Mus musculus: one gene and its partner. The protein of the gene in region 2 interacts with the protein of the main gene of each other region in a biochemical or structural test. Links are inferred from orthologs where the notes say so. Each region holds a gene or a part of one and is shown on either strand. Other genes may lie near its edges. The genes, in order: Ptpn18 and Pstpip1.

Region 1 (5,674 bases), on a different chromosome or scaffold from region 2:
CACAGCAGTATGGTGGTTCCAGGAGTCCAGCCACCACCGAGTGGCAGGCTATAACTGGCACAGCACTCGTTACACCCGTGTCCACTCTGCTGGAGGATCCCGGGGCCCTTTGGGCCTTCCGATGCGCAAGTTGAAGCCTAAGGGAAGAAGGGCTCCATGCAGAAGCTAAGGAGTGACAGGGTAACCTCCTCCAAACCCACACCGCTCCAGATCCAGGTATATGAAGGAGAACCTGAGTCCAGTGCCCCAGCCCGAACTCCCGAAGTCCTGGGGCTCTCCAAAGCTGCACCCTAGGCTCTGACTTACCTAGCCCTCCAGTCTGTGCTCCATCTGTTACTTCTTCGTAGGCATCAGGCCCGGAAGAGTTTTGGTCCGCAGGAACTGAGGGCAGGAGAACCCCTATGGGTCAGCTCAAGCTGCTTTTAAGAGTTCCAGGGACTCTAGAGCAGCATAGCTACCGATTTCCCTTCCCGAGGTAGCGGTAGGAGGCGTGTCCATGGGCGTGTCCAAGTTCGGAGGTCTGTCTTTGGGGCCTTGGGTTAGACAGCCCAGTCTCCCAATTGAGACCTGACCTGGGGCTCATTTTGGGGCTTGAACCCCGACGTTTAGTAGCCTAGGGGCGTGGCCATGCTGGATCTGGGGCTGACCTCCGAGCAGCGCTTAGACCCTCGGGAGCCTTAGGAGAGCGGGAAAGTTGCTAATAGGTACTTGTCCTCAGCTCCACACCCCCGGAGGGCCTCAACTCACCTCGGCGCAGTGCCGTTGTCCCCTGTGCGTCCTCCGTGTGTGCCACCGGTCGCTGGGCACGTGGAGCCACCTGGCTGTAGATCGGGGTGTCCGTGCTGGTGGGCGCCCGCGGCCCCGGCCCTGTGCCCGCCGAAGCGCCACGCTTCTGCACCACAGCGTAAGTGTCAGCCATGGGGAGGGTCGGGGGCGCAGGCACCGAGATGCTCCTGCAGCGGGCAACAAGCAGAGGAAGTGAAAGCGCTTAGCACAAGGGAGGGGGGCGGGGGGGGGGGAGCAAGCTCAGCCCAGGCTACGGGCTTCCTTCCTGCCTGCCCCAGTCTTCAGAGCAGGAAAGGAGGGAAGGGGCGGGCCACCTGAGGGCAGAAAGTAGAGGTTCCGTGTCCCTAGAATCCCCACAGCAGGAGGGACAGGGCCAGATTGGCAAGTGGGACTAGGGAGGACGCATGTGGTAGAGTGTGTGAGACCCCAACCCTCCTACAATGAGACAGAGACAGGTGAGTCCCCAGAAGCTCTGATGTACACAGTGAGACTGTTTCTCAAAACACGTGGAAGGTAAGGACTCACATACTCTTTCTCTCTCACACACACACACACACACAGAGAGAGAGAGAGAGAGAGAGAGAGAGAGAGGGAGAGAGAGAGAGAGAGAGAGAGAGAGAGAGAGATTGAAATTCTTTAAAAATGTACTTGCCTAATTAATTACCTTCTGGAAGACCAAGGGAAAAGCTAACCCAGACTGTAGAGGTTGATTTTCCAGGGACAGAGTGAGCCCAGTACCTGAGAACCCCTCCTGGTGGCCGGGATGTGGCAGGCAGGGCTGAGGAGGTCCTGAGGGAGAAGGCTTCCTTGCAGATTGGAGCGCAGTTCTGCAGGGAAGCAGGCAGGGTCGGTCCTGAGGCCATAGCCCTGCTGCAGGTCACTGTGGGTGCCTAGGTGAGCTTAGGGAACAGCCTGGGGAAGGAGCTCTGAGGAGGCAAAGGTGCCTTTCACAGTAAGTCGGTTGCTGTTCCCAAGAAGGGTATAGGTGTTGATGGCTGGCAGAAAGGGTGAAATTGGGGGCTCTGTACCTCCTTGAGGTTCTGGTAGTGGGGGCTGGTGTCCTGGAGAGTGCGGGAGAATAGCTGAGCCACTGTGTGGTACAGGAACCTGTACTGCTCCTGTTGGGGTGAGTGGTCATTGAGAAGGGGAGATTGGGAAGCTAAGCAAACCTCCCTCGTCCTTAGGAACAGGAAGACGGGGCAAGCACATACCTCTGTCTGCACTGCTGCAGGCCGCTGTTTCCGCATCTCCAGGACCACTTGGAAGAGACTGAAGTTGGGAGGGATTGTCTGGGATAGAGAGGGGAAGTGTGACCAGACCCTGGTAGGCAGACATGGGACATACTGCACACAGAGCAGAGGACGTCATACCTGGGTCAGCAGCAACTGCCTCACATAGTCAACAGCGCACAGGACACCTGTTCGTCCGCAGCCAGCACTGACAATCGTGAATCAGAGCAGACACCATCATAGCCTACCCACAATGCCCCTTTCCCCATTCTGTTCCTCCTCCTTTTCCCACAGGTCTTGTGCTAGGTTGCCCAGGCTAGCCTCTGACTTCAGCTTCCTAAGTGCTGGGATGTCAGGACTGCCTAACTGTACAGACACCACAACCCCTTCTGAGCTGACCTGAAGGAGATCAGTACCTCTTAAATTGCAGGATCCCTAGATTAAAACTTTAAATAAAACCTTTTGGGGTTTTTTGTACATTAGTATGCACCCATTTTGTGTGTGTGTGTGTGTGTGTGTGTTGACAGTGTGGAGACCAAAGGTCAATATTAAATTTAAGAAAGGATCTCTTACTAAACAGGCTGCTCACAGATTTGCTTGCCTGACTGACTGGCAACCCCTCAATGGGTTCACTTGTCTCTACCCAGCACCCAGCACTGGGGTTACAGGGGGCAAGCCACCTGCCCTGGGTTTGACTGGGTAATGAAGAGCTGAACTCAAGAATGTGTACAACAAGGACTTTGCCCACTGAGGCACTTCTTCGGCACAGGAAAACCTTTTTTATTCACTTAGACTTGTGAACAATCAGTTCTATGCTTACTCTCCAGCAGGCAGTCTATTCCAGCTAGCAATTCCAGCTCATTGTATCATGAACATGTGGCCAGAGGCTTCTCAAGAAATACCACTGGAAAAGGAAGGCTGGGGCTGGCGAGATGGCTCAGCGGTTAACTGACTGCTCTTCCGAAGGTCATGAGTTCAAATCCCACAACCACATGGTGGCTCGCAACCATCCATAATGAGATCTGATGCCCTCTTCTGGGATATCCGAAGACAGCTACAGTGTACTTATGCTTGGGGCCAGAGCAAGTGGGGCAAGGAGGGTTTGGGCTAGAGCAAGAGGGGCAGAGAGAGAAGAAAAAGTGTCTGAAGACAGTTACAGTGTACTTACATATAATAAATAAATCTTTAATAAAAAGAAAGAACAAGAGAGGAAGAAAGAAAGAGGGAGGGAGGGAGGGAGGGAGGGAGGGAGGGAGGGAGGGAGGGCTGGCTCCTAGCCACAACTGTTCTCCCTTGCTTTTCTGTCTCATTCTCTCCCTTCTGCCTCACCAGATCCTCATAAAACAAATTTCCTAAACCTGCAGTGGACACAGAGGGGTCCAGGTCCAAGCCCTTGGAGGCAGCGGGCCTCCTCCACCATGGTGAGAATGTGATCAGAACTGCTGGGAACCCCGTGGTCTGGCCAGGACATATACTGTAGCTGGTGCACAGAGCGGAATTCCTGAGACGGGAACAGAGAGTGGAAAAAAGAAAAAAAGAAAAAAAACATGTTTATTGATCACCTACTATAGTTCTAAGCTTATTCCATTTAAATCCACCAGATAAGGAAGGAGACTAAGAGGATTTGCATAGCATGCACAAGGCTGTGGGCTCCACCCTCAGCACCATAGAGACAAGCAAGTCCATTGTGTGCTAACTGAGGGTGACAGGAACGGACTGGAATCATGAGTTTCCATTTACAGGAGAAGAGACAGCTCGTCCCATGCAAGAGTCCCTTCACCTTTTAACGTTTTGGTACCTTCTGGAATGTAACCTGGAGGGTCCTGAGAGTGATGTCTGCATTCAGTGTTGTCTCCTTTGTCTATGCGCCATGTGAGAAGGGGACAGAGGAAACAGAAGAGAAATAGAGATCTTAATAACACACTTCACATTTCTAGAAAGCAAAGGTTTGGTTTTGCTTTGGAGACAAGCCTTGCTGTAGAGCGCAGACTGGCCTCAAACCAGAGATCCTCTTCGGGATCCGCCTTTCATGTGCTGGGATGGCAGGCGTGCACTATCTTGCCTGATGAAAGTAAAGCATTTTTTTTAATATTTATTTATTTACTATATGTAAGTACACTGTAGCTGTCTTCAGACACTCCAGAAGAGAGCATCAGATTTCATTACGGGTGGTTGTGAACCACCATGTGGTTTCTGGGATTTGAACTCAGGACCTTTGGAAGAGCAGTCGGCACTCTTAACCGCTGAGCCATCTCACCAGCCCCAGTAAAGCATTCTTAATTGAAAATCAAACACTAAAAACATTTTTAAAACTCTTAGGCCTGCGGTGCCGTCTTGCATTCCCAGGATTCCTGGCTTAGCCAGTGGTTGAGACTGGAGACCTTGCTGGGCACGTCCTACAGGTCAGACTCTGGTGGACAAGCTTGTGTGTCTGATTCCCATTCCTCGGGAATTACATTTTATAAAAGTTTTATATTTATATTTTTATATTTATGTTTTATTATATTTTTGCTTCCTTTTTCATTCTTTTTTTTTTTTAAAGGTTTATTTATTTATTATATGTAAGTACACTGTAGCTGTCTTCAGACACTCCAGAAGAGGGCATCAGATCTCGTTATGGATGGTTGTGAGCCACCATGTGTGGTTGCTGGGATTTGAACTCCTGACCTTCGGAAGAGCAGTCGGGTGCTCTTACCCACTGAGCCATCTCACCAGCCCCCCTTTTTCATTCTTATTATGGGTTTTTTTTTAACCTCAAAAGAATTTTTTTAAATGGTTTCACAACCAATGATGATATATCCATTAGGTACTATGCTACTGTAAATGTAGCCATATATTTTTAATTCAAATAAATTTCTATACTGATGATATTTTTAAATTTTCTTTTGGCCCAAATTTCTCCCAATGCATTCAAGGAAGCTATTGTCAGAACTGGGAAAGAGGAATGAGTATACAAAACACACTAATCCTTTTACAGTGAGCATAAGAGAGTCCTATTGTTCTGCAACACAATGGTCTCCTTGCATTTGTTAATGGCCAAGTACCTGTATGTGGAGGGATTTCCTCCAATAAAGAACACTGTAAAACAGGAATTGCAGAAACGGGAACAGGTCCATTTTGGTTACCGCAGTAACTGTAATCATAGTTAACACTGCTAGGGCCAGGGAACCGCACGTACCCTACATGCATTCTGAGTTTTTCACTGTGTGAGTTATGAGAAAATGGTTCACCTTTCCAAGCCTAGCCAAGGCTTCTCACTCCCTATGTCTTCCTTGAGATCTCCCACACTACCCAAGGCCTGCAGAAGCCACCTCTGTTCCCAGCCCTGCTCCAACTTACCAGGGTGATGCAGAAAGGCCCAGCCTTTAGAGGCTCCTGCTCCCGGGCCCAGTAGCGTTCACACTTCCTCTGCAAAGTAAGGTGAGGAAGGCAAGGAGTGAATGGGGAAGTCACCTTCAGAGCCACTTGTGGAGGCCAGCTGCAGAGTATAACATAAATACTTGCACACAGCACAGAAGCTAGATTCTGATCTTGCTGGGGGAAGACAGTTCAGGATATCCTCCTATGGCCTGGCAATGTAACTAATCGCATGGACTACTATGTATCATAGACCCATGCCCTGCAGGGTGGTGCCTTGTCACTAAGCTGTAGGAACTAAG
Region 2 (6,905 bases):
CCATTCTGTCTGCCACATACTGTGCCAAGAAGCAGTGATGGCAGACGCCTCAGAACAGCTAGCCTGATCCTCAGCCCCAGAGCCTTGGTTCCAGGCAATCTGCTGCCTGGACCCAGCCTGTAAAGTGCCCTCATGTCTGAGATGGATAAGAGAGCACAACCCAAAGGCGGCCCAGCCTTGTCAATCTGCATGGTTGCTTAGCCAAGCCTGCCTTTCTGCTCCGGTGAGGATCAGAGAATGGAGATGCATTGGTGATGAACATGGAGGAGCCTTGCAGCAACCCCCTCCTCCCCCCTCTCTAGACCATACTTGCTCACAGTTTCACCTCTGGCTGCTGACATTTGCCTGGTACATGGTTAGGCCTCTATTGCTGGCTTCCAGGTGGGCAGGCAGGGAAGCCACGGGCCCACAGCTGGTTCCTGTGAGGTAGGCACAGACATGACGGGGTCGTGTCAAGGAGGAACACTGAGGGCTGTGTGCCGCCTCCAGAGCCACCAGCACTTTCTCGTCCCCAGCAGTCTTCTTATCCCCTATGTTCTTATGTATGCTCAGACATTTGCCTTCTGGCAAACGTGGCTGCTGCCGCCTCTCCACATCCTTCTGTGCCCCACTTCCCTGTCACAGGATGCCTCATCTCATTGTGGCCCTCCTGAGCCCCTCTCACTTGCATCTTCCTGGCTGTCCCAAGTATGAATGTAGCTCTGGCAGCCTGGGAGCTTCGGGCACCTGGGTCGAGGCCTCTCCTCTGTCCCTGGCTGAGACTGGGCCTGACTGCTCCTGTTAGTGGCAGAGCTCTGTTCTCCCAGCCTCTGTATACTCTGGCTCTCTGGATCGAGGCCCTGGACACTGGGTAAGAGAAAAGGACCCCAGCAAAGGAAGAATGTGCCGCTTTACTCCTTCTGGGAGACATTTATTGAGAGTAGCCAGCACCCAGCCCATTCCCAGCACCACCGGGCTTGGTTCTGGCCCCGTGAGGCCTGGGCGGTGATGGAAAGAAACAGTCCTGACCTCACAGTCAGGGCGGAGGTATGTGGAGACTGCTAGCCTTTCCTCAGAGCTTCTCCAAGTACGACCCAGGGACAAAGCCACGTTGTCCGTTCCGCTCCACAGTCCACCAGCCATCCTCCCCTTCCAGGATGACCGCCAGGATGTCTCCCGCGGAAATGTCCAGCTCATCAGAATTCTGGGCAAGAAATGGCAAGTGTGTGAGATGGGAGGAGCCACCAGGACGGGGTGCTGTGCTCTGCGGCCCCCACTTTGGCAGTGCATGTTTGTCTCCCAGGGCAAGCAGTCTGCTGAGTCATGCTAAGGCCTCCAGAGTGGTTCCTTTGCAGATAGACAGGCTGTGGGGTTTCCCCAAAGGCACTTGGCCTCCTAACAAGCTCAGGTTGTCATGGAGACCTCCCATCCTGGACTTCTCTCACTGCTCCAACCACTGCAGCTCCTCAGAAGTGCTTGTCACAACGTAAGGGCAAGCTCTAGACAAATCACACAGCAATCTACTGCTACCTGAGTACCCTGTTACTGTCCAGGTCTGTACCCCTGAATGTGACCTCAGTACAGCCCCATCTAGCTTGCCTACATGTCTGCCTATATGTGTGGGTGTATTAGCCCAAGTTCAGGGCCTGCCTTCCAGGTCTACCCCTACCCCCTTAAGCCCAGGGCTTGTGTTGGACTTCAGTCCATCTCAAGCACAGATGCTCTGTGGGTGCCCTGCCCACCTTTCTCCAAGGATGTCAGGAAATAGTTCCAGGGCAGCTCAAGGACTCATTTTTGGTCATTGTGCACAAGGCCTGATCTATCCACAGCAGATCCTGGTCCAGCAGATGTCCACTGAACTATTCCAGTCTCTGGTGCTATGTAAGTGCTCACGCCCCAGGCGTGCTCCCAGGCACAAGGGGAAGCCCTCACCTGTGCGGTGTAGTCGTAGAGTGCCCGGTAGTCCTGGGCTGATGAGTTAAGGTTTCCCTGGGTCGCCTGCACTTCGATGGATGCGTAGACCAACTCATTCCGCTCAGGGGTGGGAGTCAGAGTCTCTGTGGAAGCTGAGAGCAGGATGAGGCCCGAATCTGAGACTGCTGGGGTGGGGCTTAATCCTACACCATCCACACTCTTGGACAGAATACCTTTTCCCTCTGGGACATTAGTGTTCCATCAATGCTATACAGGAGTCCTCTCATCCCCACTGGTGGGAGACATGTCCCCTCTCCCATTAGCCCTTCCCCCTTATTTACCAGCAGGAGCAGAAGGTGTGGTCTTGGGACTTCCATGTAGCAGCCCAGAGAACCTGGTGGTAGGGAGGAGAGAAGAGGGGTAGGCCTTGCCTTACCTCACTGGAAGCAAAGGGGATAATTGGGAATTCTCAGCGCTTCAGGACCTCTGCCAACCTGCTACCACCACAGGCCTCCATGGCAGCAGGCCTCCCCACAGCCATTCCTGATAGTCCCTTCGTTCTCAGCATCCTCTCCTCCCATGGTCACTCTCCTGGTCATCTCCGCACCTGCAGCCAGCAGGGCCCCATCCCCACCAGATCCCCAGCCCCAGGCTCTGTGGGGAGGAGGAAGCTACCTTTAAAGTTCAGCTCCCACATATCTTGCCAGGCCCAGCCAGTGTGGGCCAAGCAAGTCGTCTTTTCCTTGGCTGCGCAATGACTAGGCCAGGTCACCCACAGGACACAGAACTAGGGCCTTGGCACCTGACTACAGCCAGGCCAGGGAGATGGCCCTCTAAAAGCCTGGTGAATCCAAATGTCTGGGCTTTGGGCCATTCATAAGCCACCTGGAAGTCACCCGTGCTACCTCTCAGTTAAGACACTACCCTGCCTCTCAGTAGGGCCAGACAGACAAGGAAGCCAGAGTGGGCACTTGCCCGGGACTCTCCGCATAGCCGTTGGTGAATAACTGGAGTGTGAGTAATTAGTACTTGGATGCTCTTGGACCCGGGGCGCTCTGACGGTAGTTTGATCCTGGACTATCTCAATGGGATGGCCAGCTTCTGAACAGGGTACCAGACCCACAGGAGCTGTTCAGCCATGAGATGTGGAAGTCAGGCTGACCCCGCGGCTGTGTCCTGATCATATGCAGTTCATCGGGTGCTCACCTCTTTATCACACCACAGGAGGGCTGGACGCTAGGGCTGCCAATCAGTGGGGTCACCTCCCTGTCATAGTAGTTCTGATAAGGCACCGGAGCTGCAGAGAGCAAATGCATGAGGCCAAGAGCAGCGAGGACCTCGTTCAGAGGACCACCTGCCTCTGCCACCCCATGCAGGGATTAAAGGCATGGAACACTGTGCCTGGCTTTTTTTTTTTTTAAAGATTTTGTTTTAGCCGGGCGTGGTGGCGCACGCCTTTAATCCCAGCACTCGGGAGGCAGAGGCAGGCGGATTTCTGAGTTCGAGGCCAGCTTGGTCTACAAAGTGAGTGCCAGGACAGCCAGGGCTACACACAGAGAAACCCTGTCTCGAAAAACCAAAAAAAAAAAAAAAAAAAAAAAAAAAGATTTTGTTTTATTAATTTTAATTATGTATAGATGTGTGTGTATTCATGTGGAAGCCAGAGGTGTTAGGTGCCTGGTGTGGGTGCTGGGAACTGAATGGGTTCTCCAGAAGAGTAGAACTACCCTGTGCCCCAGCCTGGGCCTGGTCTACCTCCATCCAGTAGGGAAGTGTGAACCACCCGAGCCTGGCCTGGTGTAGAGCTAGCCAGACCTGGCTGTGGACACTAAGCTGCCCTCAGGCAGGGCCTTACCTGGGGGCTCTCTGCCAGTGCTCTTGGACTGGATGAAGCCATTGATGTCACCTTCCACATCACAGCCCTCAAGGGTCAGCCGCACTTCCTCATAGAGCTGGGGGTAGGGGTGAGCAAAGGCTGTGTTCAGGCTTCGCCCCAATGTCAGCCTGACTCCCAGCCTTACTATAGTCCTGCCACTGACTCTGAGCCAGAGGGACTGAGGAGAGGCCTCGGCTCACTCCTGTCCTCCGAGGTCCACACTTTAACCTGCCTTCAGATGAAGAAACACAGGAAAGTGACCTGCTATCTTGGTAAAGCTGGGCTTTGGGCATGGGAATATCTAGAGACCACACTTTCTGCTGACACGAGAAAGCCACCAGGATCAACTAGCCAAGGGCAGGAGGGGTCAGAGGTGCCCCTAAAGCACCCAGAACCAGAGCTCCTGCTGTAGGTGGTAGCCCCCCCTAACCTGGGGTATGATGCACTATGGCCATCCCTGAGTATTGGATTTTATAAGGCGAGAGAGGGAGGAAGAAGTACCCTGGCCATCCCTGAGAGAGGGAGGGGGGTGAGGGAGGGGTGTAAGAGAGCCTGGAGCAAAGCCCCTCCACCCCCAGCAAGTCTCTGCTGTGTTGGGGAGAATAGATGGACACAGCCCTGAAGGGACGTAGGAGGAAAAGGCAGAGGCGGGGGACCAGAGAAGCGCGCTGTTCCCATGCTGGAGGCCAGGCCAGAGGCCATGTCAGACTGCTCTGTGTGAAGTGCAGAGGTGGGGGACACTGAGCTTGCCATGCTGCCCTCCCTCCCCTCAGCACACACCTCATCATCCTTGACACACTGCATGGAGAGCTGGTTACAGTGCACCCACAGGGCATTGCGGAGGATGGTGAGCCGGTCAAACTCCTGCAACTGGAAGGCCTAGTGAGGAGAAAAGGGAGAGAACTAACTATGGGGCCAGGCCTGGCAGCCCACCACCACCGCTCAGCTAGGTGACCAGTGCAGAGCACCCTGCTGCAGCCAAGTCTAAAGCAAAGGCAGCCCAGAAGATCCCCACCCAGAGCGGCTGGAAGGAGGCTAGACTGTTAGGAATGCCTGTTTGCATCTCCATCGGTCCCTGTCCTAGAATGGAGGCTGGGGGAAGCTCGTGAAAGGTACAGGACTCTGCCCTGGTCTTGACCATCAGTAGGTCCCAGGGTGGAACAAAGGGATCCAGGGCATAAGGCCAGATAGTATGGGGAGAGACCCAGCAGGTGTCAAGTGGAATGAGGGAGTGTCTCCCCAGCCCCAGCTCCAGCCCCGTGCTCCCCCGCGCCCCGCCACAGGTAGGAGGAGCTTGTGGAGGAGCAGGCTGCTTGCTGGGCCACTTGCCTCACAGGTAGTCCGGTGCTCCTGCTCCCACTCGGTCCTCGCTCTCTCCAGTTGTTCGATATTTTGCCTGTACACTCTTTCTACAAACACAGGGGAGCCTTCGGCAGGCCTGGTAGCCTGGATCTCCTCTAACAGTTTCCAAGACAGTTCCGTCCTCTGTCCTTCACTCCTCCAGAGACCCACCCAGCACAACCTCCCCAAGTCCCGGGAGTCCCCTCCCCGGGGGCCTGGCTAGCTGTTGGTCACCACACACAGCCACCGCACCGCCCTTCCCACTTCCCCACTATGCTGTGAGCTCCAGGGGCTGGAGCAGAACTCAATATGCAGAGGTGTTACTCCACTTTACAGATGGTAAACTGAGACTCAAGGAGGGCACCTCTATAAGCTGTTGTGCTACAAGATAGCAAGCTGAAGTTATGACTTGGTCTTGTGGCACCTGCTGAGGGAGGAGCAGATGTTGGAGAGGTGGAACAGAGGGAAGAAGGATGCCATCCTGGGATGGGAGGATGGGGGGGGTGGCCAAATGCTGGCATCAGGCAAAGGACAGGAGCCAGGAAGGCTGAGTGTGAGCGTTTGTCATTTTGAGCTAGATGAAGGGATGTGGCCCTGTGGATCTGAGGCTCTGAAACCCAGTGGCTTAGATTCAAATGCTGTCAGCACCACTTAGCAGCTGTGTGACATTGGGTAGCTTATCTACGTGCTTTGGGTGCCCGGTTCCTTATGTTATGGCTGTGTGCAGTGGCTAAGGAGGAATGGTCTCTGGAGAGCACGCCTGGAGAGGCACACAGTGGACAGTGCTAGCAGGTGGGACAGCACCGTCTGGAGGAAGAGGACCGGCTAGGCTGCCAGACAGTCTGGGAAGGTGGCCAGGGCTACGTACCTGCCTCTGTGGCTGACTCCTTGCACTGCTTGGCTTTGTTCTGGCTCTGAGGAGACAGGAGAGGGACACTGAGTCCAAGCCCAGGAATCCTAGCCTCAGAGCTACTCAGAAGTGACTGGCACCCTCCCTGGCCACCATCCGGAATCAGAGTATGGATGGGTGAATTCTATCATTCACCAGCAGCCTTACTGCTGAGGGGCTCAGGCCGGTTCCACAAGGGGGAAATAAAAGCAGAAGCCTGCAGACCACCAGGAAACACAGAGAATGTAGATGCTATGTGTCCTCTTCTGCATCGCTGCGCAGAACCTGGACTATGGTCAGCCTGGATTCAACTCACCCACAGCCCTCTGCCCTCTCAGTCTCAGCTCTGGTCTGTAACAGGTACTATGTTTAAGGGCCTCCCCTCCCACCCTCACCCCCACACTATACACACCTTTTCTACTTGCTTCTGGTGGCCATTGGCACTCACACGCTCGAAGGCCTGCTCAGCATCATCTGCATCCCTGCACTTCTGGTCATATGCCTTCTTGGACTGAAGGTGTGGAGAGGCGTGTCTGCAGGGCTGCATGCCCCAGTGTGGGAGGCTCCCTAAGCCCAGACTCCCTTCCCGGGGGTGGGGACTTTGGTAGAATTGGCATCACTCCCAGGGACAGAGATGCAGAGGCTGAAGCACGTTCCCATGGAGACTCGACTCGGCCCTGTCTTCTATACTGCCCTGCCCTCTCATGTGTCCCATATCCCTGCTACTCTGGGCTCCTCAGATGACTGGATCACTCATGGACTCCTGCGTGTGGGACTGTCCCTCTGTTCTTCAGGCAAGGCACTGAGGGGCTTGTGATGATAAATAGGTCCTGGGCCTCGAGCACAGCCCCCAACAGGCCGATACATATAATGAAGAAAGGTCTGAGGCAAGCCTGTCCCAGAAGT

What was found.
Region 1: the proteins of Pstpip1 (region 2) and Ptpn18 form a complex in vitro, tested with the Homo sapiens proteins (2 studies listed by BioGRID and IntAct). The link is inferred for Mus musculus from reciprocal best matches to the Homo sapiens genes PSTPIP1 and PTPN18.

The regions. Positions count from the first base shown.
Region 1 is NC_000067.6:34,468,042-34,473,715, reverse strand, and holds part of Ptpn18 (tyrosine-protein phosphatase non-receptor type 18), read right to left. Parts: intron 5,424-5,674; coding exon 5,355-5,423; intron 3,877-5,354; coding exon 3,814-3,876; intron 3,517-3,813; coding exon 3,374-3,516; intron 2,224-3,373; coding exon 2,157-2,223; intron 2,076-2,156; coding exon 1,998-2,075; intron 1,905-1,997; coding exon 1,815-1,904; intron 1,614-1,814; coding exon 1,525-1,613; intron 954-1,524; coding exon 748-953; intron 382-747; coding exon 307-381; intron 138-306; coding exon 70-137; 3' UTR 1-69. UniProt on the Homo sapiens protein: Differentially dephosphorylate autophosphorylated tyrosine kinases which are known to be overexpressed in tumor tissues.
Region 2 is NC_000075.6:56,122,867-56,129,771, reverse strand, and holds the end of Pstpip1 (proline-serine-threonine phosphatase-interacting protein 1), read right to left. Parts: intron 6,511-6,905; coding exon 6,412-6,510; intron 6,025-6,411; coding exon 5,979-6,024; intron 5,179-5,978; coding exon 5,099-5,178; intron 4,649-5,098; coding exon 4,550-4,648; intron 3,846-4,549; coding exon 3,749-3,845; intron 3,191-3,748; coding exon 3,100-3,190; intron 2,288-3,099; coding exon 2,235-2,287; intron 2,046-2,234; coding exon 1,912-2,045; intron 1,184-1,911; coding exon 1,052-1,183; 3' UTR 882-1,051; downstream 1-881. UniProt on the Homo sapiens protein: Involved in regulation of the actin cytoskeleton. May regulate WAS actin-bundling activity. Bridges the interaction between ABL1 and PTPN18 leading to ABL1 dephosphorylation.